4 linked regions of the Drosophila melanogaster genome follow. The protein of the gene in region 4 interacts with the protein of the main gene of each other region in a pairwise test. Each region holds a gene or a part of one and is shown on either strand. Other genes may lie near its edges.

Evidence for each region.
Region 1: the proteins of Eip78C (region 4) and CG3815 interact in a two-hybrid assay, tested with the Drosophila melanogaster proteins (one large-scale study listed by BioGRID).
Region 2: the proteins of Eip78C (region 4) and CG15269 interact in a two-hybrid assay, tested with the Drosophila melanogaster proteins (one large-scale study listed by BioGRID).
Region 3: the proteins of Eip78C (region 4) and SoxN interact in a two-hybrid assay, tested with the Drosophila melanogaster proteins (one large-scale study listed by BioGRID).

The regions. Positions count from the first base shown.
Region 1 is NC_004354.4:6,292,369-6,300,400, reverse strand, and holds CG3815 (uncharacterized protein), read right to left. Parts: upstream 5,013-8,032; 5' UTR 4,896-5,012; coding exon 4,848-4,895; intron 4,692-4,847; coding exon 4,501-4,691; intron 4,438-4,500; coding exon 3,753-4,437; intron 3,693-3,752; coding exon 2,170-3,692; intron 2,099-2,169; coding exon 1,909-2,098; 3' UTR 1,431-1,908; downstream 1-1,430. Other genes in the region: CG12219 (uncharacterized protein), read left to right, coding at 1-538, 604-793, 877-1,104; CG15891 (uncharacterized protein), read left to right, coding at 5,348-5,797; CG15892 (uncharacterized protein), read left to right, coding at 6,263-6,591, 6,657-7,221; mldr (mulder), read right to left, coding at 7,294-7,666, 7,733-8,032.
Region 2 is NT_033779.5:15,106,180-15,114,404, reverse strand, and holds CG15269 (uncharacterized protein), read right to left. Parts: upstream 5,001-8,225; 5' UTR 4,821-5,000; coding exon 3,879-4,820; intron 2,313-3,878; coding exon 1,491-2,312; 3' UTR 1,313-1,490; downstream 1-1,312. Other genes in the region: stc (shuttle craft), read right to left, coding at 1-105, 171-515.
Region 3 is NT_033779.5:8,822,686-8,831,254, reverse strand, and holds SoxN (SoxNeuro), read right to left. Parts: upstream 5,611-8,569; 5' UTR 4,762-5,610; coding exon 3,043-4,761; coding exon of another isoform or gene 2,476-3,042; 3' UTR 1,585-2,475; downstream 1-1,584.
Region 4 is NT_037436.4:21,224,532-21,231,585, reverse strand, and holds the start of Eip78C (Ecdysone-induced protein 78C), read right to left. Parts: upstream 4,668-7,054; 5' UTR 4,114-4,667; coding exon 3,195-4,113; intron 707-3,194; coding exon 474-706; intron 418-473; coding exon 276-417; intron 1-275. UniProt on the Drosophila melanogaster protein: Induces the early late puff 78C which triggers puparium formation and development.

The sequences.
Region 1 (8,032 bases), on a different chromosome or scaffold from region 4:
ATCCCGCTGCTACTGCTACTCCTGCTTCGTCTGCCACACCCACCACCAATCTCGCAGCAGCTCCTTTACCATCGCCACCAACTGTCCAACAGCTGCCGCTGTCGGTAATCAAGAGTCAACCCAGCGAGGCCATGAACCTCACCATAACCAAGACACCGCCATCCGGTAGTCGGGGCTCACGCAATCGATCCAGTCGCCGAAAGACGCACTCGCCCAAAAAGGTCCAGCACACGGAGGGCAGCGATGTTAGCGACGAGGATTCGCCGCAGAAAAGGCTCAAGGAGAACGAGCTCATACTGGCCAATTATAATGCGGTAGCCGCTGCTGTCGTGGCAGCCGCTTCGCTAACGGGCAATCCGCCAGGACAACCGGATAGCCTGCAGCAGCGTCTGTGTGCGAGCCTTTTGCAACAGCAACATCAGGAACAACTCTTTGCTGTCATGTCGGCAACGGCGGCTGCAGCGGCGGCCGTAGGAACGAGCAGTGCCACAACAACGACGACAACGACAACTGGGACAATGATGGCGCATCCCTATGGGTAAGTCGATTGGATACTCCAGCAGCAAGCAGCAAGCAGCAAGCTTACTAACGAATCTCTTACAGCAACCACCCGCCTTCAGAGACGGATAAACGACCGGCGGCTCCGCTGCAGGCTGTCATCCATGCGGCACCCGTTTCGATCATTTGTCCCAATTGCGGTGAGCTTCCTGGCCAGAATCATCGCTGCCTGAGCAAGCCCAAGTACGCATGCGATGTGTGCGGCAAAAGCTTCAAGATGAAGCGATATTTGGAGGTGAGTACTGCACTGCCTTGCATTGTTTCAGTTATCCGCAGCTGCATGGATACCACTAATGATAATGAATTCTTCTGCGGCAGGAGCACTTTGCCACGCACACGGGCGTCAAGCTGCACACCTGCGCCTTCTGTCCCACGGAATTCCGCTCCAAGTCGAATATGTACCATCACACTAAGCGCAAGCACAAAGCGGAATGGGAGAGATCGCGAGCCACGCGCTCGGCGGCCAAGGCTGGCGTCCAGGAGCAGATGCAGCACACCAACCCGTCACAGGCACAGGCTCAGCCGGGTCCTGCGGCCGCACTCTAGGATGGCAGCCGGCACCTGGACGCGGTGCATGCGTAGTCTTAGATCTTTACAATTACAAATATATACATATATATTTTTTGCATATTAGCCATACCGAATGTACTTATCCGACGTTTCGTGTACTCCACAAAGTCAAGGCGTCCCGCCGCCTGGCACCTATTGTGTATACTCTTCTCGTTCTCTATAATGCCTTAACCAGTTGGATTTGATCTGGTTATAAAGTAAACACATTCATTTCAAAAGAAACTAAAAGTCATGTGCACTTATTGGGCGGGGCTTACTGCTAATTGGTGGCTCCATCGATCCATTTGCATGTGAAAAAATCTCTGATCTTACAAGTTTATTTCGTTTTAGCAATTTATACATCTGTTTTTACAATAAAAGTAAAGTATGCGATGCGGGTTTATGCGATTTATGAACGTAATGGTTAATTCAATAAATACGGCGTTTGATACCAGAGATCCACTGCCCACTGGCATGGATCAGCCTGCAGCCGTGCACATCCGTGGTTTGTACTCCGTATTTATTGCACTGGTCATAAGGCAAATATATACCCTTAATGCTGGATGGGATTGGAGGATTGTGTGATTTAAAAGTACTGCCGAGGCTTTGCATTGCGATGATTGATGCGATGAAGTTGAACTGGTATCTGCTAACCCTAACCCTATGCCTGGCTGCTAGCTGCCCCACTGAGATTGGTGCTGCTCCACTGGAGTTGGCTGCGGTTGAGCGCGTATATGTTTCTGTGTCTTAATGCTTAAACTAAAGGCTGCTGCTTCTGCTGATGGAGTCTGGGTACTGGTTCTACGAACGCTTGCTGCGCGCCTGCGCCTGCAGCAGATCCACCGACGGCACGACAAACACAAACGACAGGCAACCGAATCGCAGCAGGCTGCCGTGAGCCAGCACCGCCGATCCCTCCCAGGCGCCATCCACCATGGGCACTGGTCCGGCGTTCATGCAGCGGCAGGCGGGCTTAACAATGGGCGCCAATCTGCGGGGAGATTAAATCAACAAGTGGTTATCATCATCATTGGGTAAGTTGGGCAAATAAACTATAGCTACCGTTCTTTGTCGATTTTCTTCGTCTCGAACTGGCGATTAATGTTCCGACGCTTGTCCAGCATCTCATCGACGCGCTTCTTCAGCTCCGCATCGTCAGGTCGCATCGGCTTGCCGGCGTGCGTTGTCATCCTTTCGGTCACGTCGCAGGCATACAGCTGTCCATTCACCTCGGTGCCAAACTCTGAGTAATTGATCAGCTCGTACGACTTGGAGAATTCGTCGTAGAAGATGATGGCGTGCTGCGGTGAAATGCGACAACAGTAACCAATGGCCGACAGGTCCACGGTCTCCGTTTGCGCCAGCGTCGTCGATGGCGAATAGTGTCCACCGTAGCCAATGTACAGCGTGCGGTAGCGCATGAAAATCGAATGGTCCAGCCCCAGCGAACTGAACCAGCGGCTATCCTCGAGCATGTCGCCCAGTGGCGTTATCACCGCACGCGCCTGCACTTTGCACTGCAGCAGCTTGAGCTCCAGGCGCGATGCCAGCTCGTATGCCTTCTCCGTGTCGCTACGGGCACGCGGCGCATAGCTTTCGGCAGCGGCATCTGCTGCTGCAATGGCCGCCGCTGTGGCCAGTGCCGGATGCAGGGCCGTTGCGGGATCTTCGTCGGCGGCATTGCCATTCTTTTGCGCCAGAATTGAGGACGTTTCGCTGGTGAAGAGCAGCGAGAAACGGTTCATATCCTCCGGCGCCAGTTGGCCTTGCAGGGCAGCAGTTTCGCCAGCCACATGTGTGCCATCGACTGACGCCAGTTGACGCAGGCGACGAGCGGCCGTGCGATTCTTGTACTGTGTCACAATCTCCGGATGCTCTTCGACCAGCTGCTGCAGACGCTGGTGCGCCAGCTTCTTGATTATATCGACGTCCAGGTGTAAGAGGTCTGCATCGATAATACCCGTTGATTTCTTGCTGTCCTCCTCGTCCTCCTCGAAGCTAGCCTCCACCTCTAGGCTGGTCTTGGACTCCACCTTGACAACCGACGGCTGTTCGCTGGCCTGCGCATTCGATTCTGTATTGGGATTCTCCGTATCCACTTCGCCATTCACTTTATCGGCGGGAGTGTTCGTCTCGGTCCTTTTCTCTTCAGGACTGGGATCGCTGTCGCTATCGCCATCTATGGCCGTCTCCAAGGTTCCGAATTCCCTCTGAATCTCACGGAATTTGGCGTGAGCCGTGCGCAAGGCCTCCAGATCCTTGAGCAGCGATTCGGTGACCGACTCACGGGATATCTCCTCGACTTCGGTGGGCAGGTTATTGCGCCGCTTTACCCGATCGTAGCGCAACGTTTGGCGCATGGAGGGCAACAGCGGCGGCGGATGATCGTAGTGGTAGCGCACAATGGCTGGCACCTCGATGTGGGCGCGAGCACGCAGATTTCTCTTGGTGCGAAAGGGCGGATTGCGCGTGTTGACACGCCGGAAGAACTCAAGCTTGACATTTTCATGGTCAAGTGGCTGGTGGAAGCGATTCCAGAGACGCACCCGCTCCGTGGCCGAAATGCTATTGGTCATATTGGCATCCTGTGAACAGACATCCTCATTAGAACCCAAGCAGACCTCCATGTGCGTTGGCTGACTTACGATAAAATTCTCGGCATGATTGGGGCACATCCACAATCCAGCTGGCAGTGCCGTCAGTGGCGGATCCAGGCAATCCTGGTGAAAGTAGAGCGGACAGTAGTCGCAGGAGATGAGCGGCGCCCGTTTGCAGGAGCGCGTGCAGTAGAAACAGGTTTTGGCGGGCAGCGGCACCAGTCCCTGGGCATCCAGCTCAAACGGCTTGGAGTTGCGTCGCTGATTGCCGGCGCATCTGCGATTACCGCCATTTCCGCTCGGCGGATGCGTCTGCTGTACGGGTTGCACCTTGCCATTGCCCGGGAACTGGGTGTGCAGCTCGAGCTCCGGCGGCAGCGAGAATTGCTGCGGATTCATCATGGTGGCCGCCCTGATGACATCGTCCAGCGGCGTTGGCTTCTTGTTCGGATCGAGGGCGCGCTGTATGGACATCGGCATTTTGGCCAGCAGCTTCTCGGTGCTATTGCGTTCGCTGTTGCTGCGTTTGCGCAGGTTGCGGATCTTCAGCGGTATGGACTCCAGATCGCCAGACGATGGAGTATTCGCCCGTGAGCCACTGCCCGCCGAAGGCACACGCTCCACGGAACTGGCCTTGGATGAGGAGGCCGGCGGCTGGGAGAGCTTGCTCATGCGACAGCTGTGGCACAGCCACTGGCCACTGGGTATGTCCTCCTCGCTCAACGGTGGATCACTGTGGCGAAAGCACGAAATCAGCACTCAAAATGAGCAGCTATATGCGCGTGTATATACTCACTGGCATTGCAGGTGGAAGCTGGAGGGGCATCGATCGCAGCACAGCAGATTGCCGCCCTCCTCGCAGGCGTCACAATAGTCGTGGTTGTGGCCCCTGCCCGGGCGCCTGTAGTACGGATGCTTCGTGTTGGTGGACCGCTGCATCATCTTCTCGTCCTCGTTGGGCGGCGGGCGGATGAGCTGCTTGATTTGCTGCGCGAAGTAGTAAAGTTATGTTAAATGTGGGAAATGGAGACAGTTGTGAATGCGTTAATGTGGCAGCTCTAGAGTAGCCACCGCCGATTGGAATTGGAGCTCCGGGCAGTGGACACACTGAAGCTCTGAATGGCGTCCCGGCGGCACACTCACCTCCATGATGCTCAGTGAGGCGTTCGGGTCCTGGTCCAATTTTGACATCTTTTTCGCTCGCTCCTCTTATCCGGTGTACACAATCAATCTCGGAGCGACTTCACTTGGCGACGGAGGCGGGCGCAGTGTCGGTTGTCCAGCCCTGCGCATCCGACGAGCGAATGGCCACACTGCGCGCCCACCGATAGGCGATTAACGGAAATTCAGTGCAGACTGCATTTCACTCCAAATCTAACTACTTGCAATTAATAAAGTTTATATTGGGTATACACATTCGTAACCGAAAAATACCCAAGCAAACAAATAGTTAAAAATTAAATACCCAAAATTCTCATATTTCGCTCAGACCTCACTATAGACACCTATATGTTTACATCTTTTGGGCACACCACTAGCTAGCACTCGCTGTTTTGGACCAACGCCCGCTAAAAGAGCATCACAGCTGGCGGACGACGCAATTTGCCAGTTGATTTTACCAAACAATAGAACAAAATAGTGCAATGTTTTCGATATTTGGCAAACGCAAGCCCGCGGAAACGCCCACGGATGACCAGCCCATCCAGGGACCGGCGGAGGCAACCCGTCCAGGCACCAGTGTCGATGATTTCGTGTTCATAGAGCGCAAACCAGTACCGGATGCTCCTCATCCGGGTGTTCCAGCCGGCTCCATGTATCCACCTATGCCGCCAGCGGGCTATCTGCCCTATCCGCCGATGCCAGGACCGCGCAGCGATCAAGTGAAGCAGCCCGGAGCCCAAGGACCCGTCAATTACTTGCAGGACATTCCATTCGAGCTGGCACCCGGATTGGCCAACAAGGATCGCTACACCAGCACCCAAATGCAGGTGGACAGCATATTGGCGCTACTAACGCGCCAATTGTCCGTGGACGAGCTGGCCGAGGAGTACACCTTCGCCCTGGAGCGATCCGTGCAGAACGAGTGTTACTAGCTTTAGATCCATAGATCCACTGGTTAATATTCATACATTACATTACATTACATATAATAAAACGTTGCTTATTTAATTGTAAACCACATATGCAGTGCTCTTTTGCTTGTTAGTGGTGTGAGTCATTGGAATTCCTTAATCTTGTTGCCATACAATTAATGTTCCATTTCTTTGAAAACATGTAGAACTTTTCTGACTATCAAGTAGTCCTTTGGTTTTACCTCGCTCACATTTCAACTGGGACTGCTCATAAGGTGATCCACTATCGCAGCGTGAATACATAAAATTGTTAGTGCTCCCGTTTACCCAAATTTTTCGTACACAAAAAAGATTTCGAAACATTATTTTGTGTTTATAAGTAACCAAGTTCAAAGCTAAATTTCCAATACGTACAAATTTACCAAGCCGAGACGAGCCGTTCCGTTTCGTTTCGTTTAGTTCAGTTCCGTGTAGTACTCTTCAGCCATGGCCAGCTCCAATGTCTCGGATTGGGATGAGCCGATGCCCACGTCGACGGAGTCGCTGCCCGAGGAGGAGGATCCGGATGTGTGCGCAGAGGAGAACGTAAAGAAGCGGCGGGAGGAGGAACTGGACAAGCTGGAGTTGTATGTGCGGCGCATGGCCTACCAGCCGACACTGCCGCCCAAGGTAAAGCCCTACGACGTGGCCCTGTCCAAGCCCAAGTTGCACACGCTCATCGACAACTACGAGCAGTTCAAGGATGTATACGATCCGAAGCTGCGGGCCAAGCGGATCAAGCGCATGCTGGGCAAATACAAAGCCATTACCACGGAGTAAGTGCAGCGCTTGCATCAGTTGCTAACGCGATCTAATCATCTCATCTCATTCCCAAAAACAGACAGCTGGAGCAGATCCTTAAGAGCAACAAGACCAAGGAGCGAAAGAAGGAGGATTTCCTGAAGCGCAAGCAGGAACTGTACTACAACATGCTGACCAAGCTGGAGCGCCAGTGCCGCACCCAGTACCTGAACGTGCTCATCAAGAAGTTCGCCAAATTCATTTCCCATCTGGCCACAACGATGCGCATTCCGCCGCAGCTGGTGGATCCGTATGCGCGCATGCAGCGCGGCATCTTCTGCAACATCCTGTTGGCCATTGGTGTGCAGCCCACCTCACAGTCGGCCATCTACTACACCAGCCAGGATGCCATCGAGTACGATGTGTGCCATCGCCTCGCGCACGCGCTGCTCAGTTTGATCATTAAGGCGCTGGACTCGGCAGCCACAAGGGATCCCAACGAGCTGGCCAAGCCGGCCGACTTGGACTTCGAGATGGACAATCACATCAAGCGTCGGCTCATGTGCGCCGCCGAGAAGAAGCTGCTGTACGAGCGCCGTCGCAAGAAGCCCCAGCCGCAGGGTCTTGGAGCCTTTGAGAAGTGCACCCGCTATGACTGCGACTAGGACGGCTCCTTCAGTGTATTCGTGTTAACATTTGGCTACTATTTATTCGCATAAGAAGTCTTGCTCACATGGTCACCTCGTTGTTTTGGTCTTGGTTTTGGTGGCGGGTATCGTCTGCTCCTTCATCTGGATGCACAGCCAGTTGGCGGGCACCTCGAAGCTGTCTGTGGGATGCGGCGTGTACTGCGCGCAGTAGGGCACATGCCAGGTGTCCGCCACTTGGTGGGCACACAGCCGATGACGAACGGGCTCCTTGACTATAATCTGACCCGTTTGCGTTTGGGTGACCAGGGAGAACTGGTGCTCCTGCTGCCAGCGACGAAAGATGGGCTTCAGCTCGGTGCCCAGATGAAAGGCGTGACTGCGCATCAGGTCGCGGGAGAAGAAGTCTGTCTCCTGGCCGCTGCGCAGCGTGGCATACAGCAGGAAGGGATCATCGTGCGACCTATAAGCAAACGAACGAACGAATTAGTCTACCTATCCCTTTCCAATTCGAGATGAATTCCCTTACAGATTGCTGGTCAAGAAGAGGCTGGCATTGCAGTGCACATAGTGCATGGCCTGCTTGGACCAGTTGCGCATGTGCTCGCGTCCCAGGACGAGGACACGCTTGTCCTGTTCCCGGAAATGACGCACCACCGTAGCCACTAGCTTGGCCAGCTGCTGCGGCGTCTTTTTGGTGCCCGTAGAGTAGGCCACATTGAGGCCATCGATCACACAGTCGTATGGCGCCGTCTTTTCGACAAACTTCTTGAACCTGGCCACCTCCTCGGGCGTGGAGCGCTGGAAGACGTCTCGTCGTATGAGCACG
Region 2 (8,225 bases), on a different chromosome or scaffold from region 4:
AAAATTGCTGTTGCTCGGATTGACCGACCCATAGCTGCTGGTGACGGTGACTCTAGCGATGCCATCGCCATTTTGATAGGTTGGGATCATGGCCTGCGAGTAAAACTGTTTTGTGATTTATTAGTTGATTCATTAGGACTAAACCTAAGTTCTAATATATCGAAACATACATTCGGAGATTGATGACTCACATTTGCAAAGTGGCTGGTACTCGCGGATGCCACTGGTGGGTTCAGTCCAAAGGCTCCTCCACCGCCGCCCAGGGAGAAGTTAGTGTAGCTGCTGCCCACCGGATGTTGCATAGTGCTGGTGGCATTCGAGGGCGCTCCTCCACCCAGATTGTGCTGCATAATGAACTGATTGAAGTTCACGTAATTGTTGTTGCTGTGCCTGTTGCAGGAACCACCCACTGCCGCCGATTCGTGACCTCCGTTGCAGTCTGCCATGGCGGATGACTCATTGCCGGGTCCCGCTTCTCCGGCGCCGTTGGTCAACTGCTGCCAGTACTCAGCCATTGAGAGTCCGGTGCTGTCGTTGGTGACCAGCGTCTGTTGCAGTTGCGCCTGCTTCTTTGCCGGAACAATCTCGAACTGCCCGCCGTCCTCTGCTGGGCATTTCCCAGCGCTACCACGGGATCGTCCGCAATCCGAGGAGGAGGTGACCGAACCCAGGAAAAGCTCCAGACACGTGTGCAATGGTGAAATTGAGCCCAATGCAGAAGTTAACCGAATCGAATTCTCAGTTCGATCGAATTTGGTAAAGGCTTTCTACGGCCAACTGGACGCACCGCAGCCTGGGTCCGCAGGCACGTTTTACTGATTTTTTTGCGCTTTTCCTGCGTTTTTTATGCTCGCTTATATTGTAAATTTCTAACAAAATTTCACAACACGGTCATACCAGACGAAACGGTACCACTGACAATTGCCTTGACTTATCGATATATTAACAGACTTTCGATTTTTGAGGGGAAAAGGGCTGCCAACTCGGTTTTAGGACAGCTGTGAATACAATTTAACAGCAAGATTTCGTTTAGTTACTCAACACACCTACAGTGGTAATAAACTATCAGGTGGCGCCATCTGGCTGAGTGAGAGCGCACTTTTAAATATGTTAAATGTACTGCAACGGTTCGTTCATTTGTTTACTAAAAAAACATACATCTTTTAATTTTTGTCACTAGAAGATTTGAATTAAATAAGGCTGCGTTATCTGATTATAAGCGAAATTACCTAGTTGGACTCCCAATCATATCTCCAATCCAAAATATTATTTCTAGAATCCTGGAATCCTTTTGTATTTGATATTATACTTTATTGACTGGCCAATATATATGCCTATTTTAATAATAATTAATGTCTATTCCTAATTTAATTTCTAGCAAAATTATTGCTTGAAAATAAATGTAAATTGAATAACAACAGTGGAAGTACTGCACTTTGTAATTGCCACAAATTTGGTTGAAACTGGCCGGGCACAACGATTCCACCCATTTAGAATGTCCTGAGATTGCTGAGAAGGGTTTGCTGACTCGGCGGTTGGGATGGACCAGATCCAGGTGTTAGAACTCCAGGAGGTGGCGGCATTTGAAATGTTTGAGCCATGGCCATGGCCAAAGTGGGCGGTGGACCTGTTTGTTGTTTTCCCGGTACTGGAAGTGCGGATGATGTGACCGTGAGTCCATCCAACGGACGGTACTGACACTTCTTAGCGTGGGTTCGCATATTGCTCGACTGGGTGAATGCCTGATTGCAGTTGGGATGTGGGCAGACATACGGCTTGCAGCCTGTATGGTAATTCAGATGCGTCTTTAGGTGATGCTTTTTGGTGAAGGCTTTGGGGCACAGGGGGCAGCTGAAGGGCTTGATTCCCGAGTGGAGGCGATGGTGCAGGGTCATGTTGCTGCGATCGGCAAAGGACTTGCCGCACACGGAGCACTGATACGGTTTCTCACCACTGTGCGTCCTCATGTGCTGTTTGAGCAGCATTTTACGCGAAAATCTCTTTCCGCACTCGTTGCATTTGTGGGGTTTCACGCCGGTATGAATCCGGACATGCATATTGAAGGCCACACGCTGATTGAACGATTTGGGACAGTAAGGACACTCGTACTCCTTCCGGTTCCGGTGAATCTTTAGGTGACTGCTCAAATATCCCTTATCGTTGAATGTCTTGCCACATTCGGGACACTCGGCGGCAAACTCCTTGGTTCCTCGGTGAACGGACAGGTGATATTTGTAATTTCGCAGCTGGGAGAAACCCTTTCCACAATCCGCACACTCGTAACGCGGCGATTTGTGCGTCTTTTCATGAGCCTGAAATAAGAACATAATAGACAAATAAGATAAATAAATAAGATACATTAGCTTAGCAATAGTAATATTGTAGCAATAGTAAGAGATTTAAAATTTTAATAAAAAACCTGAGGTAGTGAAAATCTGTTGTGAAATTCATAAAACAGCGATTTTCTACAAACTGTTCGTTAGTTAGTTAGTTTTTGGAAGGGAGGCTTTCAAGATGAGTATGTTTAGCAACATTTTAATTAGGTCCTAATATTAATACCTTATTCTATAAGTTCTAGTGAGGATTGGAAGATTTCGAATATAAAGTTACTGAAAACTGAGCTTTGGACACATTTATACTTATACAAAATAAGCCAGAAATGCAAAAAATACCATGGTTACACATTCGAATGTTCCCCATTGTTTGTAATAATTTTGTTGCAACTTCAAATGTGGCTTGCTTCAGTTAGCTACTGAAATTGGTGTTCTTTCCCAAAGTGGCCATTTTGTGATTACCTCTCGCTCGGCGTCTGGCCCTTTCTAACGTATCTTGTAGCTGCACCCATGCGTAAAACCAGTTCTCTCTTTTTTGCCCGCTTCTGTTTCTGTTTTCGGCCGACTCCATTTTGAACTCGGATTGCTTGCGAGATTTGCATAAGGCACTCAATTCTTCGCTGCCTCTCTCTTCCCCACTCCACTTGAATCTCCACTCTTTTCTTCGGAGCTCCGCCTTCCAATTAGACTACTGTTTCTCTGTTTTTTAGGCCCCGCCCAAATCCATATGGTATCTCTGTTGGTGAAGAAACCCGTTTTGGGAGGATCTCGTGTGGATGTGGACTTTGAGGACCGGCCAAACGATATCTTATGTGATGTATGGCCATGTGAAAGGTTAATGCTGTTCTTGGCTTAGATGTTTTGAAAGGAGTTAAATTCCTAAAGTTATTTAATGGCTTTGCAATAATAATTCTCAATCATTTAGTACTCCGCATAAACACATATTTCTTTGTGATAAATGTATACGTAACCGTTGATGAGATCTAAATCATTAATTTTTTTGTTACTTATAATTAAAAAAAAAAATACGCGTGCATTTGCCAAATGCTTGTGTGTAAGTACAAACTCTTTAAGTGACTTTACGTATAAGTTTGATTGTGCTATTTAATTTATAAGAAAATTTCATACAATCGTTCATTTCGTTTCGCTTTTTTTATAACTAAACAGCAGCAAACTGAAATAAAATATAATCTGGCAAATCTAAATCATTTCATTCTTAAATTCTAATTGGGAATTGCATATATTTTTTGAATATTTGTATTTCATTTTTTAAAAGTTGAAGGTCTAATGAAATAAAAAAAATTAAAATTCTGTCTACACTATAAATATAAAAATTTGTTTCGTGGGTGTTTTGTGTTTACTCGTTTTTGAGGGATTTTAAGAATAAATTGAATCCTTGGGTTAGAGTTTGGAATATATTTAGGATGAATTATCTTTTCTAAAGCTAATAACTGATAACTAAACGCTTTGGTTGTCATAAATGATATATACTTGTAAACAGAACACCATCGTAATAATAATTTAATAACAATAATAAAATCTCACCTGCAGAGTTTCAGAGCATCCGAATACCTTCTCGCAAATCCGGCACTTGTAGCTGATCTCCTCGGCGGATGTGGCATTGTATCCACCGATACCACCGATTGCTCCACTGTTGCTGCCGACGGCTGTGGTGATCAGTCCACCGGTCATCTTGGGCATCATTCCGACGGCCGTTGCCTGGACCGAGTTCAGACTCAGATTGGTCACGGTGGTCAGTGAGATGTTAGTGCTGGCGGCTCCTCCAGTGGCACTCATAATCAGATCCCTCACAGGACGTATTGATCCGGTGGAACTGCTCACCGAGGAGGCGGCGGGTGAGATGAGAGGTGCGGTCTGCTTATAGCCACCAGTCTGCAATCTTTGGTAATAATCCAGGCACTCCGGGCAATCCGGACGAGTGCATGCGGTGCTTTTGGTGCGTATGAGAGGTTGCTGTTGCTGCTGCAGTGGTGGTGGTGGGGGAACCGATCCATTGATCACATAGGGAGCAAAGAAGCGTTTCTGCTGATTTGGCAAATGCTGCTGATGCTGATGTGTTTGATAGGGCGACGTAGGAGGAGTACTCAAGCCGGCAGCCGCTGCAGCAGCCGCATAGGCGGGCAGTAAGTGCGGGAAGAATTGGGCATAGAACTTGGTGGCATTGGCCATGGCCACCAAATCTGGCGGCAACATGGAGTAGGCACCGGAGGCATAAGGAGTTGATGGTATTGCCAGCCCTCCAAGAGCCTGTGGGCTCCTAATACTGTTGCTACTGCTCTTGGATAGATCCAGGATATTCGTGCTCGTATCCTGAGCGGATTTACGCTCCTTGCCCAGAATCTTACTGATGCTAAAGTCAGTGACTTGAGCCGGTGGCAACTGTGCCCCAGCTCCCAAGTTCTGGACTCCATTGGTGGGTGAAGTACGCGCCGGCGAGGGCGAAAGGTCGTAACTGCGCTGCAGCATGGCGTGCTTGAAACCCATTCTTCTCCACACCGAAGAATCACTCATAGACCGCAGGCGTTACCGTTTCGGATGACTATTTTCTGAGGCGTAGGCGCTTTTTAGCCCGGGGAACTGTCGCGTTACGCGTCGAAACACGAAATGTCTTGGCCTCACAGCCCACAGCAGCCGTCATCGTCTTTTGGCCGGGCCTAAAGCCTGGCTTACGCTCCCGCTCTCGAATTTAATTGGTCGAGAAACAGGTTTGACCGTACAGGTCGGTCTCGCTCCGTATCTCTCTCTCTCATAGACCGGGAGTCTCTTCTCCAATTAACCAGGTTTGACTGCTGGAGACAAACTGTCGCGCCTCCAATTACGAGAGGAGCTGCAATCTGCAGACCCAGAACCATTTGCTAGTAGCGTTCTACTAGTCACATCTATCATAAACCTTATCGCTCCTTTCAGATCGCTCTCCGTGCACTACTCTCTTTCATTTTTTTTATCCACTGGACCTCTCTGATAAAGTGACTAAGATTTCGTTTTGGCCGCGTTGTTTTTGTAATTAATTGCGGTAATAAAATGTGCGCATCGTTAAATTTTCAAAATGTATTTCTCTTGTTCCTCATCCACACACACACATTCTCATCCCCGTCCACATTCACATCCTCGCTGATTCCGAATCCGATTCCCAGGCATGTGTGAATCTTACGGTTATGCGCATGCGCAGCGATCATCTCTTGAGGTGACTTGGTTCGTCACGGCTCTGCAGTCTTAGCCATGTGTGAGTGTGGGAAGGAATTGAAGCTAGGGACTAGATGACATAACCGTCAAACGATCGTCAAAATGGTGTATAGGAAATCAGGTATTTTTCTTGCGAATTTAAAAAGGGTTGTTAACGGTTCATGATTGACCACACTGGCCAAAAAACTTAACGTAAGCCCAAAAGGTCTAAATAATCATATATGGATGATTATGACACCCTCTTGAAATATTTTAGTAATTAAGGACGTGCTGTGCCATTAAAGTAAAGTAAAGAATTTTTAAGAAACAACAATTTGAACCCAAATATTTTTCCATAAATTTATTAAAAAATAGCCTATGCCAATTAAGGGTGCCCTACAAATACCTCTTTCTGAAGCATTTAAGCTTGATCCACTACATTTAGTTGCCATCCAAGAGGGACTGTGACCACTTCCTCGACTTGCATAGCATCAGTAGCGGCCATAAAAATGTGCAAAACAAAATGCTCCTCAAGTGATTTGTGATTGGATGAAACGCGCATAAATAACATGGTATCCAGGCCGAGGATTCGGAGGATCCATACACAGGTGAAGTAAAATGGTGACACACCACGCGAATTCAAGGAAGCTGCAGATACAAATGAAGTGGTATACATTTACAGCTACATGGAATGAGATCCGGTGAAATGGAGTTGATATTCTGACTCACAAGGATTGGAGGATTGAAAGTCTCTGTTTTCTAATTGCCAATTGCCGCATAGAGAGACTCTAATGCGCAAGGCACAATCTTGCACACGATTTGTCCACGATCACTTACAAAACGATCTTATCAGGATTACCTGGCGGAGAAGCCCCTTCAAATCCTCCGCGCTAGCCAACTACCGATCCTCTTGCCAGTGATTAATAATGGTTTGACTGTCAACACGCGCTGCTCGCTTTGGTTGACCACGATCTGCATAAATTTTGATTAAACAGGCTATTCATTATAATTATACATATGAGGACCGGGCGAACACCACAAAACTTGTTCAACCTTAGTTGAAAAACTCTTTTTCGTATTTCGTTTTTTTTTTTCAGTTCGGTTGGCATTTCGTGGAATTCCGCCAGATAATTTACATATGCGAAGCGAAGGAAACTTAAGTTTTAATTACACTCACTAAATCATCGGGCCTCTGCAGCAGACTCCAGGAGACTTTGTTTTGTCGCATGACTAATGTTTATTAGCTGCTAATGGTTTGTTTTACAAAAGCTACGTGGCTGCCCCATGCGAAGTCCCTCCATTGCCAGCTCCATCTCCATCCGTAGCATCCCATCGCAACGCATCCAGGTGACTCGCATGAACGCTCCAAAACTGTTTCACCCGTTGACATTTTGACAAATTTCCAACTCCTTACTACCGTCGTCGTTTTGGGGCCGTCTCCAATGTAAGCTGATACCTATCTCAGATGCCCAGATCCCCATCTCCATCTCCATCTCCTCGATCTTCCCCATGGTTCTTCTTCTTTGTTCACACTATTAATTTTCCGCTCGTTATTGTCGGGATTGTGCGTTGTGGTTCAGTCGACTGGTTCCCCCTCATTGGGGTGGTCGGCATTTATCTTATTTTGTGTGCGTTTAAAACTTCTTTGTGAAACTCTTTAATGTCATGTGTTATCGGTTAATGATCAGCCGCGTTGCCAAGTGATTTTCTGTCAGCGGGTGATCAACTTTGCCTGGGATTTCCCCACCGAACTCCGATCTTCACCGCCGGTTCGGGTTTGTCCTCCTTACGGATTCCGTTTAATTTCCTTAGTTGCGTGGACCTTTGGTTTTATTCGCTGATGGGGCTTTGGATCGTTGGATTGTTTGGACCTTCTCGTCTGCGCCTTGTTATGTGTAGCTTGACAAATGTGTTGATTTGCCAAGTTTATTTCCAGCGATGGTGGGTCCAACATTTTGGCAATAAGATTGAACGACCTTTTTGGACTTTCTGATCTTTCAAGGCGAACTAAAAGCAACAAAAATATAAAGTTCTGAATTTCCAGGTAACACGTTTTGGCCATGAAATGTATTTGAGTTAAATTGAATACAGTAATTACAAAAATGATCATTTTAAATTATTTAGAGCTATGTATAACATAAAGAAAAAATGTTTAAAATAATGATGACAAAATAGTTTTATTCGCTTTACTTTCAAAACTAATCGGAAAACTTGAAAGTGCTTAGAAATGGTTCAAAATTTGCATGCAAATTCTACAGAAACGCCCACCTCCCAATTCCCAAACTTATGTATTTGTCAGGCCTTGGCAATAAAACTAAAACAGGGCTCTAACAACAGCATTTAGGAGGTGTTATACTATTGTCTAGCCGCGATATAATTTATATGGATGGAATAAAAGTTCGCTGAAAACGAGACAGAGACAAAGGAGAGTAGAGCGCGAACAAAGCGATATTCGTAAATTATATATGCACGTCCATATATGTATGTACATATGTATATACGGATCCAAAGTGGCTAAACTATATAGGTATGTATGTTTGTGCATATGAATAAACGAGGCGTATGGCTCGGCAATGTTGTAGATCACAATCATTTCAATTAATTCGAATATAAAATACGAAGTGGAGACGGCGGCTTTTGCAAAATGAACAGCGTGCGCTCGTATATATCAAATTTCAATATAAATGAGCTACAAACATAAATCAAGGG
Region 3 (8,569 bases), on a different chromosome or scaffold from region 4:
TGGCTGACAAGAGAACAAGCCAAATACACTCAATTCCGAAATAAATCCAAATCAAATACGAGGCGCAACTGACTGAAGCGATCTCTCTCCACTACCATTTGCATGTCAAACGAAGTCGCATTTTTTAGCTAGATTGTATCTGCTGCAACTTAGCTCAAATGACACCCATATGGCATTAATAAATTTCTCGTTTTGCATTTATTTCACACAGCGCGTAGAAATATACACACAAATTATGCATGTATCTCGAACATGCCACTCGACAATCTCGAATTTCAACACAAATAAACAGGCCTCAAAATCGAAGATAAGCAGAGGCCCACAGAAAAATCTGTGAATATTATGAAAATTGCGACAAATGCAAATCGAAGCTCGTTTTTTATGCATGCGAACTATTTCGAGCAGAGACAACCAAAAAAAAAATGGGAATTTTTGAAGCCAAAGAAAAGGTTAAACATTTTGAATCAACCGAAGGTATGGGTAAGGGTTAAGCATCCGAAGCGAAAAATAATTTAGATGCGAAATTTTATAATTAAAACTCGTTGCCACTAATTGATTGCAAAGTGGAAATAATAGAAACGAGCAGGGGAATGGTGGTGAAAAATTGAAAATACATTAATTGAAATTCCCGGGCAGCTTTCATTTTAAGCCAAACCATTTACCCGAATTACAATAATCAGCAGCTTTCGAATGACACAAACAAAAAAAAAAAAAAGAGTAGTAAACAGTGTATAATGTTTGCACATAATAAATAAATTGTTTTGCAGCCAATGTGTGTTTGTTTTTGCTCCCAGTCGCTCTGAATTTGCAATTTTCATTAATAATACATATCATAATTTTTTATGAGCTCTTTGAAATGTTGGCACAGAGCGTGGGCCAGATGTGATGGTTTGGCCAGCATAAATTAGCCATATTAAGTGGATATTATCGGGTTTTGTAGGCCCATTCACCGTCGCGACAGCCGAGTGATTGGACAATCTGGGTCTGGTGAGCGGCTCTGAAAATATGGCATATGATATATATCGCATTATCAAAATTCCTAATAATTGTATTTCAACCTTGATGCATGATCGGTGGAATTAGTTTGGACGGTGTTGGCTACAAAGCGTCGCCTTCCGGTCACGAAAATTGCAGTTACTCATTGACAAAATGCACTTAAATAAATATTGAAATGCCAGATTGCAGCATGCGATTCACATGAAGTTCCCAAATAATTGCCATGGCTGGATTTTATAAATGTAGATGGCATACCATTTTTATGGGAATCTCATCTCATGTTTTGTTCTAATTTGTCAGGGTTTGTTTAATGACATTTTTATTTATGTTGACAATGCGTGAATTTCATTTGATTTTTACTACTCTAATCGCTTTTGTCTAAGGAATTACGCATCCCACTTAAAAATGGGGGGAGCTATAAAATCCAAACTGGAATTTAAGCCATCTGACACATTGCTGAACCTGCATATCGATTCGGTATGCAAAATTCACGGATCCTCCCATTTTGCCGACGGCAAATAGTAAAAATGTAGCGAGATGTTTTTGTAAAGATTTTTCTTTTATTTGTTTTTTTTTCGTGGATTTTTTGTGGATTTTGTTTTTATTATTTCCAGGTGCTTGGCAATGTTTTGTTGGATTTGTTTGTTTTCGCTGCCTTGCGCCATGTTTCACAATCACGTTTGCACGCTGCTTCTTGGTTTGTTTTTACTAAATTTGCTTTAGGTTTACTAACATTTTCTCTGGTTGTGTTTGTATTATGCAGTAGATGCTTGCCTTCGATTCGATTTATGTTTTAATAATAATAATAATTTTGTTTTCGCTTTATTACAATTAATTATGGTTGTCTTGTCTGGTATTTGTAAGCATAATTAATAATTAAATTGTTTATATAATAGATAATAATTATAATTACTTAATGCATAAGAGAATTTATAAAATAGAATGTTTTTTGACATTTTTCTTTGCTTTTCTGAAATATTTTCATCGCCTCGCCACAACTGCCTTTACTCCTACTAAACTTGTGCTTGATTCCGCGTCCCGTTGCTCCCTTCAATTGAACGCACATTTAATGTCTGAGAATGTTTTGTACAGCAAAAGGTGAGTGGAAATGAAATGCTAAACCAAACGAATTTGTTGTTGTTGCCGTTGTCCCCGTAATTGGCAACAGTTTATTTGTATCACACAATTGTTTTAGCTATGCAACAAGCGGGAAATCAAGGGAAATCGAAGCAGAACGGTATGGAATGCAAGTGAGTTGTCATCTTACTATTGTGGTACAACAGTGCGTATGCATCATTTAAATGACTAAACATTAATCCTATTCTCATTTATTTATATGCGCATGTGTTACTCTGCCACTTCGAAATTCGAATTAAACCTGCTTAAGAACTAAGGCTAAAATTGTGTCTGTGTGTGTGTGGCTGTGGTTGTGGGCGTGGGTGTGCGTATCCTAGGGCTTTAGTTAATATTTTCAATAATTTACAATGTGGATATATCCAGGAGGCCAGCACTGGCAGCCACCGCTGCCTCGTGGCCAGGATGATAGTGATGGTACAGCTGGTGTTGCTGCTGCTGCGGGAGGTGCTGCAGCTGCTGCTGTTGCTGCTGCTGCTGCTGGTAGTGTTGCTGTTGCTGCTGCTGGTAGTGCAGGTGGTGGTGCTGCTGCTGCTCCTCGAGATGCTGCTGTTGCATGTCCAGCATGCTGGCCGAGGCGGCAAAGGAGCTGCCTGCAGCCGCAGCAGCAGCAACGGCAGCAGCAGTTGCCGCCGCAGCAGCAGCCGAAGTGGCGGAGGAGGTGGCAGCGGAGGGGGTCAGCTGGTAGGCGGCTGCCAAGGCGGGTGAATGCGCGGCGGTATGGCCACTGGAATGCGCCGAGGAGCGGCCGCCCGACGACCCCGATGCCGTCGGACTAGGCCGTCCGTTGAGCAACTGTTGCTGCTGTTGTTGCTGCTGCTGCTGTTGCTGCGGGGCCGTCGGCATGTACGGCGGCAGTGGAGGCGAAACGCTCACACTGGAGCCTGCTGCTCCATAGGCGCTGGCCATTTCTCACATGTGTGCCAGCGGCGCCATCGCCCTCAGCGATTGCTGATGCTGCAGGTGGTGTTGCTGCTGCTGCTGCTGCATGGTATGGTGTTGCTGCGGGATCTGTTGGTGCTGCTGCGAAAGGTGTTGCTGCGGGAGGTGCTGCTGCTGCTGTTGCATCGACTGGTGCTGCTGCTGCAGATCGGGCGAGTCAGTCTGATAGTGCAGCAGGTGGCGCTGCTCATCCGGCAGATGGTACATATTCATCAGGTGATTCAGCTCGCCGCCGCCGGCGGCTGCTGCCGCTGCTGCTGCTGCTGCTGCCGCCGCTGCAGAGCTGTATTCCCGCTTCATGATGTGATTGTTGTTGATGTTGTTGTTGTTGTTGAGCGCTATGGCACTGGGACTGGGCGACACCGGTTCGGACTTGATGCTCGAGTCGCTGGGGCTGTGGCTCTGGCAGGAAACCTGACCGCCACCGCCTCCACCTCCGCCGTACGGAGTCGGACTGCCGGGCTGCTGCTGCAAGCTACTGCCGCCATACGGCGACGGTGATCCGGGCTGCTGGAGACTGCTGCCGTACGGCGATGTCTGTCCGCCGGACACCGTCTGGTACATCGCATACCCGTTGTTGTACATGTGTCCCATGTCGTACCGCTGCGCCGCGTAGTGCTGGCCCATGTAGGAGGTCTGATAGGCTGCCGCTCCGGCCGGATCTGCGTGCATCATGTAGCCATTGGGCATGTATCCATTGGGCGCGTTCATCTGGTACATATCCTGGCGCGCCTGTTGCGCTGCCGCTGCTGCCGCCGCCGCTGCCGCTGCTGCACTGCCTCCACTACCGTTTAGCGACTGGTTCTGGCCAGGCTGACCTTGCACCCGCGTGGGCGTCACCGGCTCACCCGGTGCTCCGCCGCCCACCGTCTGTCCGGGCATCAGGCCGCCCATTGGGTACTTCTCCTTGGTCTTGGTCAGCGTTTTAGTCTTGCGGCGCGGCCGGTACTTGTAGTCCGGATGCTCCTTCATGTGCACCGCCCTCAGGCGCTTGGCCTCGTCGATGAACGGTCGCTTCTCCGATTCCGAGAGGTCCTTCCACTGGGCGCCCAGTCGCTTCGAGATCTCCGAGTTGTGCATCTTGGGGTTGTCCGAGGCCATCTTCCTCCGCTGGCCCCGTGACCAAACCATGAACGCATTCATAGGCCGCTTCACACGATCCGCGTGCTGTTGGTTCTTGTTGGCCGTGGCGCTGTTGTTGTTGTTGTTGCTGGATCCTCCAGTTAGGCTGCTCAATGCAGATCCCGCGCCCAGATGCTGCTGCTGCCCGTGCTGCTGCTGTTGCGTGTGCTGCTGGTGGCTGACCGGCGATGTCATGTGATGGCTTCCGATGCTGCTCTGGGTGGGACTCAATTCGCTGGAGCTGTGCAGCGGGGAGCTCTGCTGCTGCTGCTGTTGCTGCTGCTGCTGCCCCACCTGGCTGCCATTGAGGGTGTTCGCCATCGAGGACTGCAGCGAGCTCAGCGGATTGGGACTCTGGCTGGCCGCGATATGGGCGCTCATGTGGTGATGATGGTGGTTGTGATGGCTCAGCTGCGAGTGGGTCAGGTGCGACTGGCCCAGGTTCATAAGGGGAGCTAGGGCGGAGTACGGCGATGCCGCATGTCCGTGCAACGCGGCACTTGTGTGATGCGGCGGCATGGTGGCATGCAGCAGGCTGCCTTTCATATCCGATTCCATGGTCAGCATCTTGCGGGGATTACTTCCAGTTTTCGGTGCGATAAAGCTGATTTGACTCAAAGTTGGTTCTCCGTGGATACTCGCCTCTAAGATGCAGTTACTCTTTAGCTTTAGTTTACTCTTTGCTTAGTTAGACATTTTGAACATTTTTTGGGAAACCATGTTGCACTTGTGATTTTTGAGATTTTGATTTTCGCTGCAGTTTTTATTTCGTAGTTTTTCGTATCTTTACGCGTATCAAAAATGTGGCGCTCGGCTATCTTTGGATTTGTAGCTAAACAGCTTGAATTGCGTTTTTTCCACAGTCACAAATATCAGATATACATATATGTTGTTTGCTAGCAAACAAACAAGAGGCGGCGTAAAACACTTGAAAATTGTTGCTAAAACCCGACGCGAAATTGCCTCAGAATATTGTTGTTGTTTGTATTAGATTTTGTTGTAAATATATTTGGTTTGGTTTGGTTGTTGTTTTTTTTTTTCGTATGCGAGAAGCGGGAACACCGAAAAAATACCTCCACACTGGGCGGAATTGAGCACCTTTCTGTTTCTCCGGACGACGGCGAAACCTGTTCGAGGTGCGTTCTACGCTGCTTTTTCCCTGGCTGTATGATGACTTTTTTTTCTTTCTTTCGTATCACCGCTTTTTGGCTAGCTGATGACGAGGCACGAACCAGAACCACCGATGCGATGCGATGCGAAACGATACGGATACGATACGACACGAAACCGAATTCGAGACAGCGAACAACCGAGTTGATGTTGCTGCGTGATGTTGCTGCTGATGGCGTGCTGCGACTGCCGTGCGGTACGTTGCGTGCGCGTGTGCTGACGACGGCGAATGCGAGAGTCGAATGAGAGACCGTCTGCCGCTGGCCGCTCGAGGAGGCGGTAAATGCGGTGCGGTCCGCCAGACAGGGTGGCTGGAAAAACTGGTCTTGAGTCGCGAGTAGCTGTGTGTGCGTCGCTGCTGTCCAAGTGTGCGTCGGCATTTCCATTGCCCGTCGCCTGTGCGGGAGCGAGATGAATATACGAGTGGCTGGCCTGCTAATAAATCAAATAAACTCGCTGCTGTGCATGTGTGCATCTGTGTGCGGTGAGCGCTGGCTGGGTTGGATTTTGCGCACACTGCTCCGCCAATCAGAGGACGGTGAGAGCGGTACGAATGTATCTTTATCTCGTTCCGTCACTATATCGATCCGCGTTGCGCTCAACGCTGCCATAAAAATGTCGTCTCTGCGTTTATGGCAAGCGCTGTTGCCGCTTTTCCGCTGCCGAAAGAGACTCTGAAGGAATTTCTCGTATAAATTTCGAGCTTTAAACATGGCCGAAACGCTATGGACGGGGGGAGCTGGAGCGGGCCATGGGTACTCTCAACCCAGTCCAGGGATCCAGGGACCCAGGGGCCTTAGTGTTTGCGGCGTTTTCGCCGTTAGAGCGCGTCTCACGCGCATAGTTTTTCCTGGTTTCCTTTTTTATTTTTTTTTTTGGCCCTGCTATATGTACATACAAAAAGATATATAATATAGATATATATATATATATATGTATGTATAGTCACTCTGCGTCTTACGCTGCGCTTCTTATTAACCTAATGGGTTTGCCAAGGTAGCTCACGAATAATTGTGTAGGCAGGCAGTCGGCAGATGGAAAAATTTATTAAGCAAGTGCAGCTGCAAATGTATCCTGCTCTCGCGGTAGTCGGCAGTTGTATCTCAGAACTTTGATGCGGTTTGGCTTACACGTATCACGTATCCGCCACATGAGCCAGCCCGTCCTACGGCATTGTCTTAGGGCACCATCTGCCCCACCACGACACCCCCCTTTAATTTACCACCCCGCGATGAATGCGTTTTTCCTCAGCTGACTCTGGTATTCCGTTTTTTGGGTTGCCCATGAGTAAATGTTGGGCTCTTTTTTTTTGTGCGACTTTTAGCAGTGCAAAGTGATTGGATTGCAGTTCTCAGCTGGTGAGAACTACTCACCAACTTGCAGTGCAGGTGGAAGTCGATTAATTGAAGATTTTTTGCACACTCGAAGAGCAAAACCAAGATTTATGGGCTTTTCTAAAAGTTATATTAATTATAAATTGTGTGTTAAATAAAAAAAATACCATTGTGGCTAAAATAAAACATACTTTTGCATCCGTAAACTACGAATAATATAGAAGACCATTTTTGTTCTTGAATAAATAAAATACAAATTATATGAAAAACTGCATTTCCTCGATAAATAATATATATACATTTTCTCCCTTTAAAGCACAATCAAAATTTCTTTTGTACAACTCCTTAAGCATCGTCTCCAAATTTCCTGCAAAGTCATCAAACACTTGAATCGAGCTACTAACCCATTAAAAATGTATAATGCAAACAAAGCCGATATGTGGGCTCGTCGGCTTAATGAATTTATGGCCAATTGCTAAACATTTGACAATGGAGCGAAAACACTGGGGCAAGCGGGCACAATAATAAAGGCAAGACCGGCAAACAATGCAAAACCTGCCCCAGTAACTGACCTACAACAACGCAACATCATAACATCAAAAACAACAAGAACGCAAATCTTAACCGCAAAAAGTTGGCCAAAGAAAAGGAATAAGTCAAAGTCGTTGTTGATTCTATGGGGGCTATTGTGTAATTTCAAATACAAAATGCAGAAAAAGAAATACAATTCTGTTCGGTTCATTATCAATGTACTTGGCCTGCCTGTTTGTTTTGTTATTGTATGAGTACGAGTACAAGTACGAGGCATTGATTCTTTTGATGGGAAGACTGTTGCTCCGCAAAAAGTATTTTGCTGAAAATGGGAAAACAAGCCAAAACCCGAAAAACCAAACAGAACCAGACTTATACTCAGACTCATACTCGGATTGCGATTCTGATTCTGACTCCGATTCTGATTCGGATCCAGAATGAGCGACGAGTAGACACTCAGACGGCTTTGTTGCTGCTATTTGTGTTTTGTATTTTGTGTTTTATGTTTTATGTTTGACGATTGAGCGTGCTGGGCGCGTGTGAATGAAAAGGAAGCTCACTCACAAACACTCACAAGCAGGCGGGCCATGGACCATACAAAAAACAAAGTCAAGGTCATTGTAAAGAGTTTTAATTGTTCACACACAAAAAATACAAATGAAAATACGAAATAAAAATACTCTCGCACACACACACACCACTATGCTATGCTACTGGGAAATAAAGCAGAAAAACACAATGGGCGAGAGAGCATTGCACAAACAAACAGGCAAACATTCGTACATAATAAAAGAAATAAAAACGCAACAACAATGGCCAAATGGCAACAGGAGGAGCAACGCCGGCAACAACAAAACACAGAATTGGCAGCAAACAAGTTGAGCAAATCTGAATAAAGCCAAAAGGAATATATGGATATTATCCCGTTCAAGACTTGGCTAAAATCTAAGCAGGCAGCAAATCAATAGATTTAATCGTGGGGGAAAATAGGTAAATATTTCTTGTTAAATTCAAATAATTAAATCCTTTTTGAGGATATCCACTTATTATTATTACTTATACTTATTATTTTTTTCCCTAGATCAAATTTTATTATCGCTCTAAATTTTAATATATAAATTTCCCTTCTATTGACCCAAATCAAAAGTTCTTCGGATGATATTGGCACCCCTCCAGTGATATAAGCCATATTGCATCCGTTTTGTTGGCCAAACTTTGGGCCACTCCTTGCTGCCACATTCTGCGCAACTCGTCCTCTCTTTTCCCAGCTTTCTGCCGCCGTGTTGACTCTAAACTCGGATCTGAATGTTCCCTAAATGCTTTGCTCTTGCAACTTTGCC
Region 4 (7,054 bases):
AATACCACAGACTTCGTTTCCTTCGGTGTAGTTTGAATTGCTCTTCTAAAACGCTATCTTGCAGTTGCCAATTTTCACTGACAGTCAACTGACACAATCTGCGATCGCTTGGCAGAAATCTGCCAGCGGTTTCGCAGCTAATAAAGTTATCAAGGGGCACAAAAAGTGAACAAGGTGCAGCCTCGCCTTCACTTTGGTCCCAAGCAGTTGGCTTTTTGGGATTGGGTATTCGGCATAATCATATTTCTTGGCTGTAGTTTTGGTTTAGTACTTACAATCGCGGCTCATGCCAGCGGAAAGGCATTTCTTGAAGCGGCAGTACTGGCAGCGATTGCGGTTCAGTCTGATGACCAGGCACTTGCCGTCCCGCAAACAGCGATATTCGATTTGCTTCTGGATACTGCGACGAAAGAATCCCTGCCAGGAAAAAACCCATTGAAAATATATATACTGCATGACCTGCACAAACTCACCTTGCAACCCTCGCAGGAGGTTACACCATAGTGGTATCCCGATGCCTTGTCGCCACAGACTTTGCAGGGCACAAATGATTTCGAGGAGACACCGTTGTTGTTGTTGCTGCTGCCGTTGCTGCTGCTGCTGTCTGCTAGGCCAAAAGATTGCTGCTGCTGCGGGTGTTGCAACTGCTGCTGGTGCTGCTGCTGCTGTTGCAGCTGTGTCGTCGGCAGTGGCTGCTGCTGTTGCTCTGCAAGGGAAAATTGCATTGGTTTACACATTTCCTCCGCTGGAAAGTTGTCCAGCTGGTCGCTTATGCAATGGCACATTGCTCATACGCCGCGTGTGCAACATGTCGCAGTGCAATTTGTTAAATGAGTTTGCTGTCACTGCCGCCATGTCACCCACTCGCCATCGTCCAAAATGTCACCTTCTTGCAACACGGGACAGCCACAATCACAATCACGATCACAAGCGCAATCAATCGACAAGTGTCACCAGTAATTGATTTAAGCCACCTAATGGCTAAATTATTTTTTTCCGACAGCTTTAAGGCTCCCATCTTAATCATCCTCCAGTGGGCTGGTGATCAAAGTTAAATCCAATGGCCAAAGAGTGCATTCAACTTCCAGGAGATGTGCGATAAGAAGAAATGCCAAAAAATCACGTATACGCCACCGCCTACAATAAATTGCCTGTAAAAACGGCAGTCACGAGGAAAGCTGCAGCCGCACAATTTTCACAGTGCGAGCGCCGAAAAAAATTTGCATTGCAAATTAGGGAAAAAGAAGAAAAGAAAAACAAGCAAAGAAAAACTGGAGCCAGGCAGCAATGTTTGCTTCTTGGCATTTCATTTCGAATTCAATTTGACTGCATGTCTTGCTGCTATTTTTCGCTTTTCTAATGCAAAAGGAAGAGGCAAATGAACTAAGCGCGGAGTTTGAACAGCCTTCTATTGTTGTTGTCGCGATGTTGTTGGTGTTGGTGTTGCTAGTTGCCGCTGTGCACATTGGCGTTGCCACACCTCAGAAATGCGAAACAAAATGAAATTAATGTGGATACACGCACCGAAAAACTGTCGACAGGAACGGAAATATGGAGACAGAACTTCAATTTATTTCTTGTAATAAAATGTCCTTGTGCTTGGTCCAAGAAACTGTCCTTTACAAATTTTGTAACAAATATTAATCTAATACACATCACTTCCGAAACCGTTTAAATTTGTTAATATTTATTTGGTGATCAACTTTGGTGATGCATGTTTACATCATTTGTTTTTTCTTACAGTGGATGGCGCGTTACGCGCTTGTGCAATTGCAAATTGAATTTTTACAATTGGAGTGCAACAACAATTACAACTACAACAACGGCGTCTGGAAAATGTCGTCGGCCCGGGCAGGAATGAAAAAGAAAAGAAAACGCAAAGGAAACTCAAGTGGCTGCTTTTCATTTTCGCGCCGCGTTCAAATGCAAATCATTTGGTGGCTTTTGCAAGTTGACAATTTGAAACGCCATTGTTTATCCAGCCGAAGAAAAAGGGGTGCGGGTTGTGGGTTGACTGGCTGGCTGGCTGGCTGGCTGACTGGCTGGTGGAAAACTGCTTGGCATTTCCGCGTTGTCAGACAAGTCAGAGGCATGGACGATAGACGACAAAGACTTCATATTTCCTCGACTTTTTCCCATTTCCATTTTCATTTCATGCATTTATCTGGTTGAAGACAACTAATTGAGTGGAGTGGACAACGAGCGATTGCAGTCAATTTTTGCCCCGGCAGAGGAATATCAATTTGAATGCCGTGGAAAAAGCAGTCGAGATTTTGACTTTTCCTCTAATTCCCAGCTTGATTTCAAGGCCTTTCCTAACAGATTTAATTTTCATTCGCACTAATTGACGCAATTAAATGTTGCCATTCCAGGACTCGAAATGAAATCTTCGCCAAAAAATCCAGGCAATTTGCAAGTTCAGCCAAGCCGAATAGTATTTATAATGTCGAATTGTAGTTCAAAATATTATAAAATTTATTGAAAATAAACAAATTTATATTTAAAGTTAAATAATCATTTTCTTGGCTATTAGTGGCGGTAAATCATTCAGCAATAAAAATGTATTGGATTTAGATATTTATAAAAAAAATTGTTTAAAATATATATGTTGGTTTCTTTTTTTGAAAGTCTCTGTGTAAGCAGCAGCTGACCGTAGTAGTTATTAAGCCTATGTTTTGTTGCATTTCCGGTTCCAACTACCCATTCGTTCGAGCCACCAACTACTCCCGGAGGAGTAGAATGGGCTTAGCCCCTTCAAATACCATCATCCAAGGCAAAAGAGAGCCGAGACCAATTCAAGGCGATTTATGAAAATTAAAACATCTTTTCCATGGCTTTCAATTGCACTGCACCCAAAAGGAAAAGCAAATGCAGCGGCAAATGCAAGCACATTGACAGACGTGCAACATGAAAAGCAATTTCCTCGCACTAAAGAGAAAACTGAAACAGCAACAGCCATTGGCCAATAACAGCGAATTATATTCATTTTCACATTTTCCATGCTGCGCTTTAATAGTTTCCTCAAAAGGAGAAGAAACCGAAGACCCAACGACTTTCAATTGCTGTTGCAGCTATTATGCAATGAATGCAAATTTATTGAACACAATTTCAAAGACCGACAACAATGGTCCGCAGCAGAGGAGAGGAGACGACAACGCGGAAGAGTCGCAGTGTCAGTTGCAAATTGCACGTACCTTTGTTCAGATGCGCAACAGATGAAGATGTTGCTGCGGGGTTGACGACGCTGTTGTTGCTGCTGCGGCCGCTGCTGATGGTGCTGCTGACCGCTGACGAGGAGGAGGATGCAGAGGAGGATCCGCAGGATCGCGAAGATCCGGAGGAGGAGGCCGACGAGCAGCCGCTGTCCGGCGAAGAGTGGGCGGCGCTGGAGGAGGGGGAGCTGCTGCTGGTGTTGTGGTTGCTGGCCGGACCGAACTGATGCACACTGCTGATGGTGTACAAAGCACCTCCACCATTGCTCAGCGTGCAGTTGAGCTGATGTTGCTGCTGTCCAGGGTGTTGCTGCTGCTGCTGCTGTTGCTGTTGTTGCTGGTGGGTGTGCTGCCGTTGCTGCTGCTGCTGTGGGCTTAGACTGGCTGCAACACTCTCTGCTAGGGCTGATGTTCTATAGAAGTCGTCGCAATGCAACAACTGCAATGGATCAGCTTCAATGGCACTTAGGCAATCCTCCAAATCCCGGTGATGCTGCTTCTGCTGCTGATGCTGCTGTGTTTGCTTCTCCTCTTCCTGCTCGGATTCCAAGCTATTGGCCTCACTGTAGGCCCCTTGGGTGGACGAGTCCTCCGGTGTGTCAAAGAAATGCAAATTAAAGTCTGAATTTGCATTAAAATTGACTACCGGCAGCAGGGCTTCCTCGTCCTCGTCCTCCTCTTCTTCTTCGCCTTCTTCTTCCTCGTCCTCTTCGTTGTCCTCTTCCTCCGCCTCCTCTTCGCTTGGCTGTTCCTCCTCGTCCCGAGTGAAATCCTTGATGAGGTCCTCCTGCTTAACTTGGAGCTGCTGCTGCTCCGAAGACGAGTGCTTCACACAGGTTTCGACCAGCAGTTTGGAGCGGATTTGTGCCTGTTCCTCCAGCTCTATTTGGTATACATCCATGTTGCTCGGATCGAATCGGTGAGATGGGCATCCATCATCTTCATCATCGTCCTGCTGGCGGAAATCGACGTTGGCAACCTGCGAGGGCGCCTGATCAGCATTTTTATGGGAAATCTCTGCGATGTTATATCTTTTGCACTTAATGAGGAATCCGGAGAGGGCGTTTCAAAAGGATTCACGGTCTTTCAAATTTTCTTCGCTTTTGTCAGCTGTGGCTGAATTGAAAAAAGAAGTTAGGCTTTAGCATATGGCAAAGTCCTTTAAAGAAAATGCTATCCGATTTCAAAAGCTAGACCAATCTATCAAGTTCTGGTAATCTTGAAAAACCAATCATAATAAGTACGATAAGTTAACATTAAGTCTAAGAATAAGTGTATAAAATAGACATTAATTTTTGATATCAAGTAACCTAATATTCCCAATACTATAATATTTGGCCAATATTTCCTTTTTTCTATTTATTAGTTTGCTAAGTTTAGTTAAGGCCTTTCCCAGCCATGTACATATGTAATTATTGCCTCCCTACTTTGTGCGCAGTTCTTTCGTTAATGCTTGAATTCAATTATCACGATCATTTCGCATTTCTCATTACTAATCCCCTCGCTTAAGTTTGTCACTTGCACTTAGCCTTCGTAATAGCTTGTATTGCATAATTTTTCAATTCACTTCCGTGTTGTTTTCGAAGTCCTTCGTTTCCAAGTTCAGGCTAGTTCCAAAATCGGGCGCTCGTTTCGATATAGGTTCGTTTTGTGGCGGCACACTCGCGCGTCGATTTTATTATTTTTTGGGAGAAATGGTGATCGCGCGTACAAAACTCTCGCTTCGTCGAGATCCAAGCGCCAACTTCGCAGCGCTCCAAATGCGCCAGGGAAAATCCAAGCTAAACTGTAGAACCTACGACAACACACAAAAGTCCAAGACGACGACGGAGCAGCGGCGCAGAAGAACAAGAACGTGTCCCTCTGCGCCAGTGTGAGTAACTGTGCGCTGGTCTGTGTGTGGAAAGAGCAGGAAAATAGAATGCATTGCGTCTGTGTGGCCCAATGGAGTGGGAAAACTGCGAAGCGCCGCCGCCGCCGGAGCATGAGGTGGAGCCGCTGGAGGAGATGAAGGGAGCAGATCGGTTGGAGAGAGTCAATGTGATGCGAGTACTGGAGGCTCTATCTTTCTAATCTCCACCAGCGCCAGCGACAGCAAGAGCAGCAGCAATAACAGCAGCCACACAAGCTGCAACAGCAACAACTTGGAAAGCTGCAGCCACATTAGAAACTGCTGCAGCAATAGAATCGGCAACAGCAGCAGCAACTGTTGCAACAGCAACAGCACAACAGAAACATGCATTGCCACTCTCGCTGTTGCAGCTGTATTTTGTTGCTGCACTTTTTCATTTGCAAACTCTTTTCCTGGTTGCTATTTTCAATTTCTATTGCCGCTGCCGGCGTTGCTGCCAACGTCGGCATCGACTTCCAACATTTCCAAGTGCAACCACACATCCACTCAAGATCAATTTCACACACACCAATGCAGCGAGCGAGAGCAATAGAGAGAGACTCGGACCGTTACTTAGTTTGCACTATCCTCGAGGGAGAGGGCAATGGGCATGTGTGTGTGCGCGAGAAAGAGAGAGGGCAGAAGTGTGGGCGCCTTCAAGGGGGGTCAAGTCAAAGAACCTTCAGCTGAGCAGGCAGGAAAGAGAAAGGCCGAACGGCAGAGTGGGAGAGCAAATTCTGCAATGCGGAAGTTTAAATGTTGCATGTTGCTTTTGCGTTTGTGGGCTGTTTTTCACCGAGAAGAAAGTGGAAAACTGCAGTTTTTGGCATGAAAATACTTTCCTGAAAATTATTTTTGAAGATCAAATGAAGTATTTAGGAATTTGCTTCTGAGTCAAAAAGGTTTAATGTTTTGACTTGAAAATAAAAAGCAAACAATGCCAAATTTTCCCGAAAAATGAATTTACATTCAAGGACAATGATAAAAAATAATATGATTGTGCAAATTGCAAGGGTACAAGGAATTAATTAACTAGGTACAGAAATCTCTTTTTCGAATAGTATTTTTTCCTTTTTCCCTAACGTTTTCCGCAATTTTCGTGACGAACGCCTGGCGCAAAAGGGAACGAACGAAAGTCAATGATCAGCGGCGGCGGCGACGTCAACTGCATGCTAGCTTGCCATTTTTCCAACGGGCAGCAGCGAAAGCAACCAGAAACTGTAAATAACAGGAAAACGGCAACTGGGCGATCGGTGGAGCCACATATCCACGATCCTCCGCGAAAGCGAAAAGCCAGCGAGCAGCCGAGGTACGACGACCAATCGAAGCGATAACTCCGCCGCCCCCACCGATCCGACGATCCACCCAGGCTGTGGCATGCTATAGCACACTATATGTCCGATTGCGTCGGGCGATAAAACCTGATCTCCGCAGACACACCGATATGCCACGCACACTCCTCCAAAGACGCTCACCCATACAGACAGACGTGCGATGACGACGAACCAGGAAGAGAAAAATGAAAATGCCGCTCGCGAAGATTGTGTAATCGAATCGAGTGAGTGTGTGCGTGTGTGTGTGTGCGAGTGAGAGTTGTTTAAAGATGGGCGGGTGGAAAAGGGGAGCACTATTCTTATTATTACTGCATTTCACTTATCATCTCACGAGGGTGAAGGGGGGAGGTGGGGACAGTTGCCTTGGCTTCTTCGCGTTTTTCGCGTTTATTTATTTTGCTATTGTTGGCTCTACGTTCGCCGCGTTAAGTTCAATGACTTGTGGGCAACGTCATGGGCAACATTTGAGACAACAGCAACAACAGCGAGAACAGCAGCAGCAACAAAGTGGCGCAAAATGCGTTTGGTTTAAATTATTTGCTTATTATTATGCCACTGCCGACAGCCTTTAGATTCTACACCGAAGAAAAGTGATCAAAATAATAATTAGCAGCTGC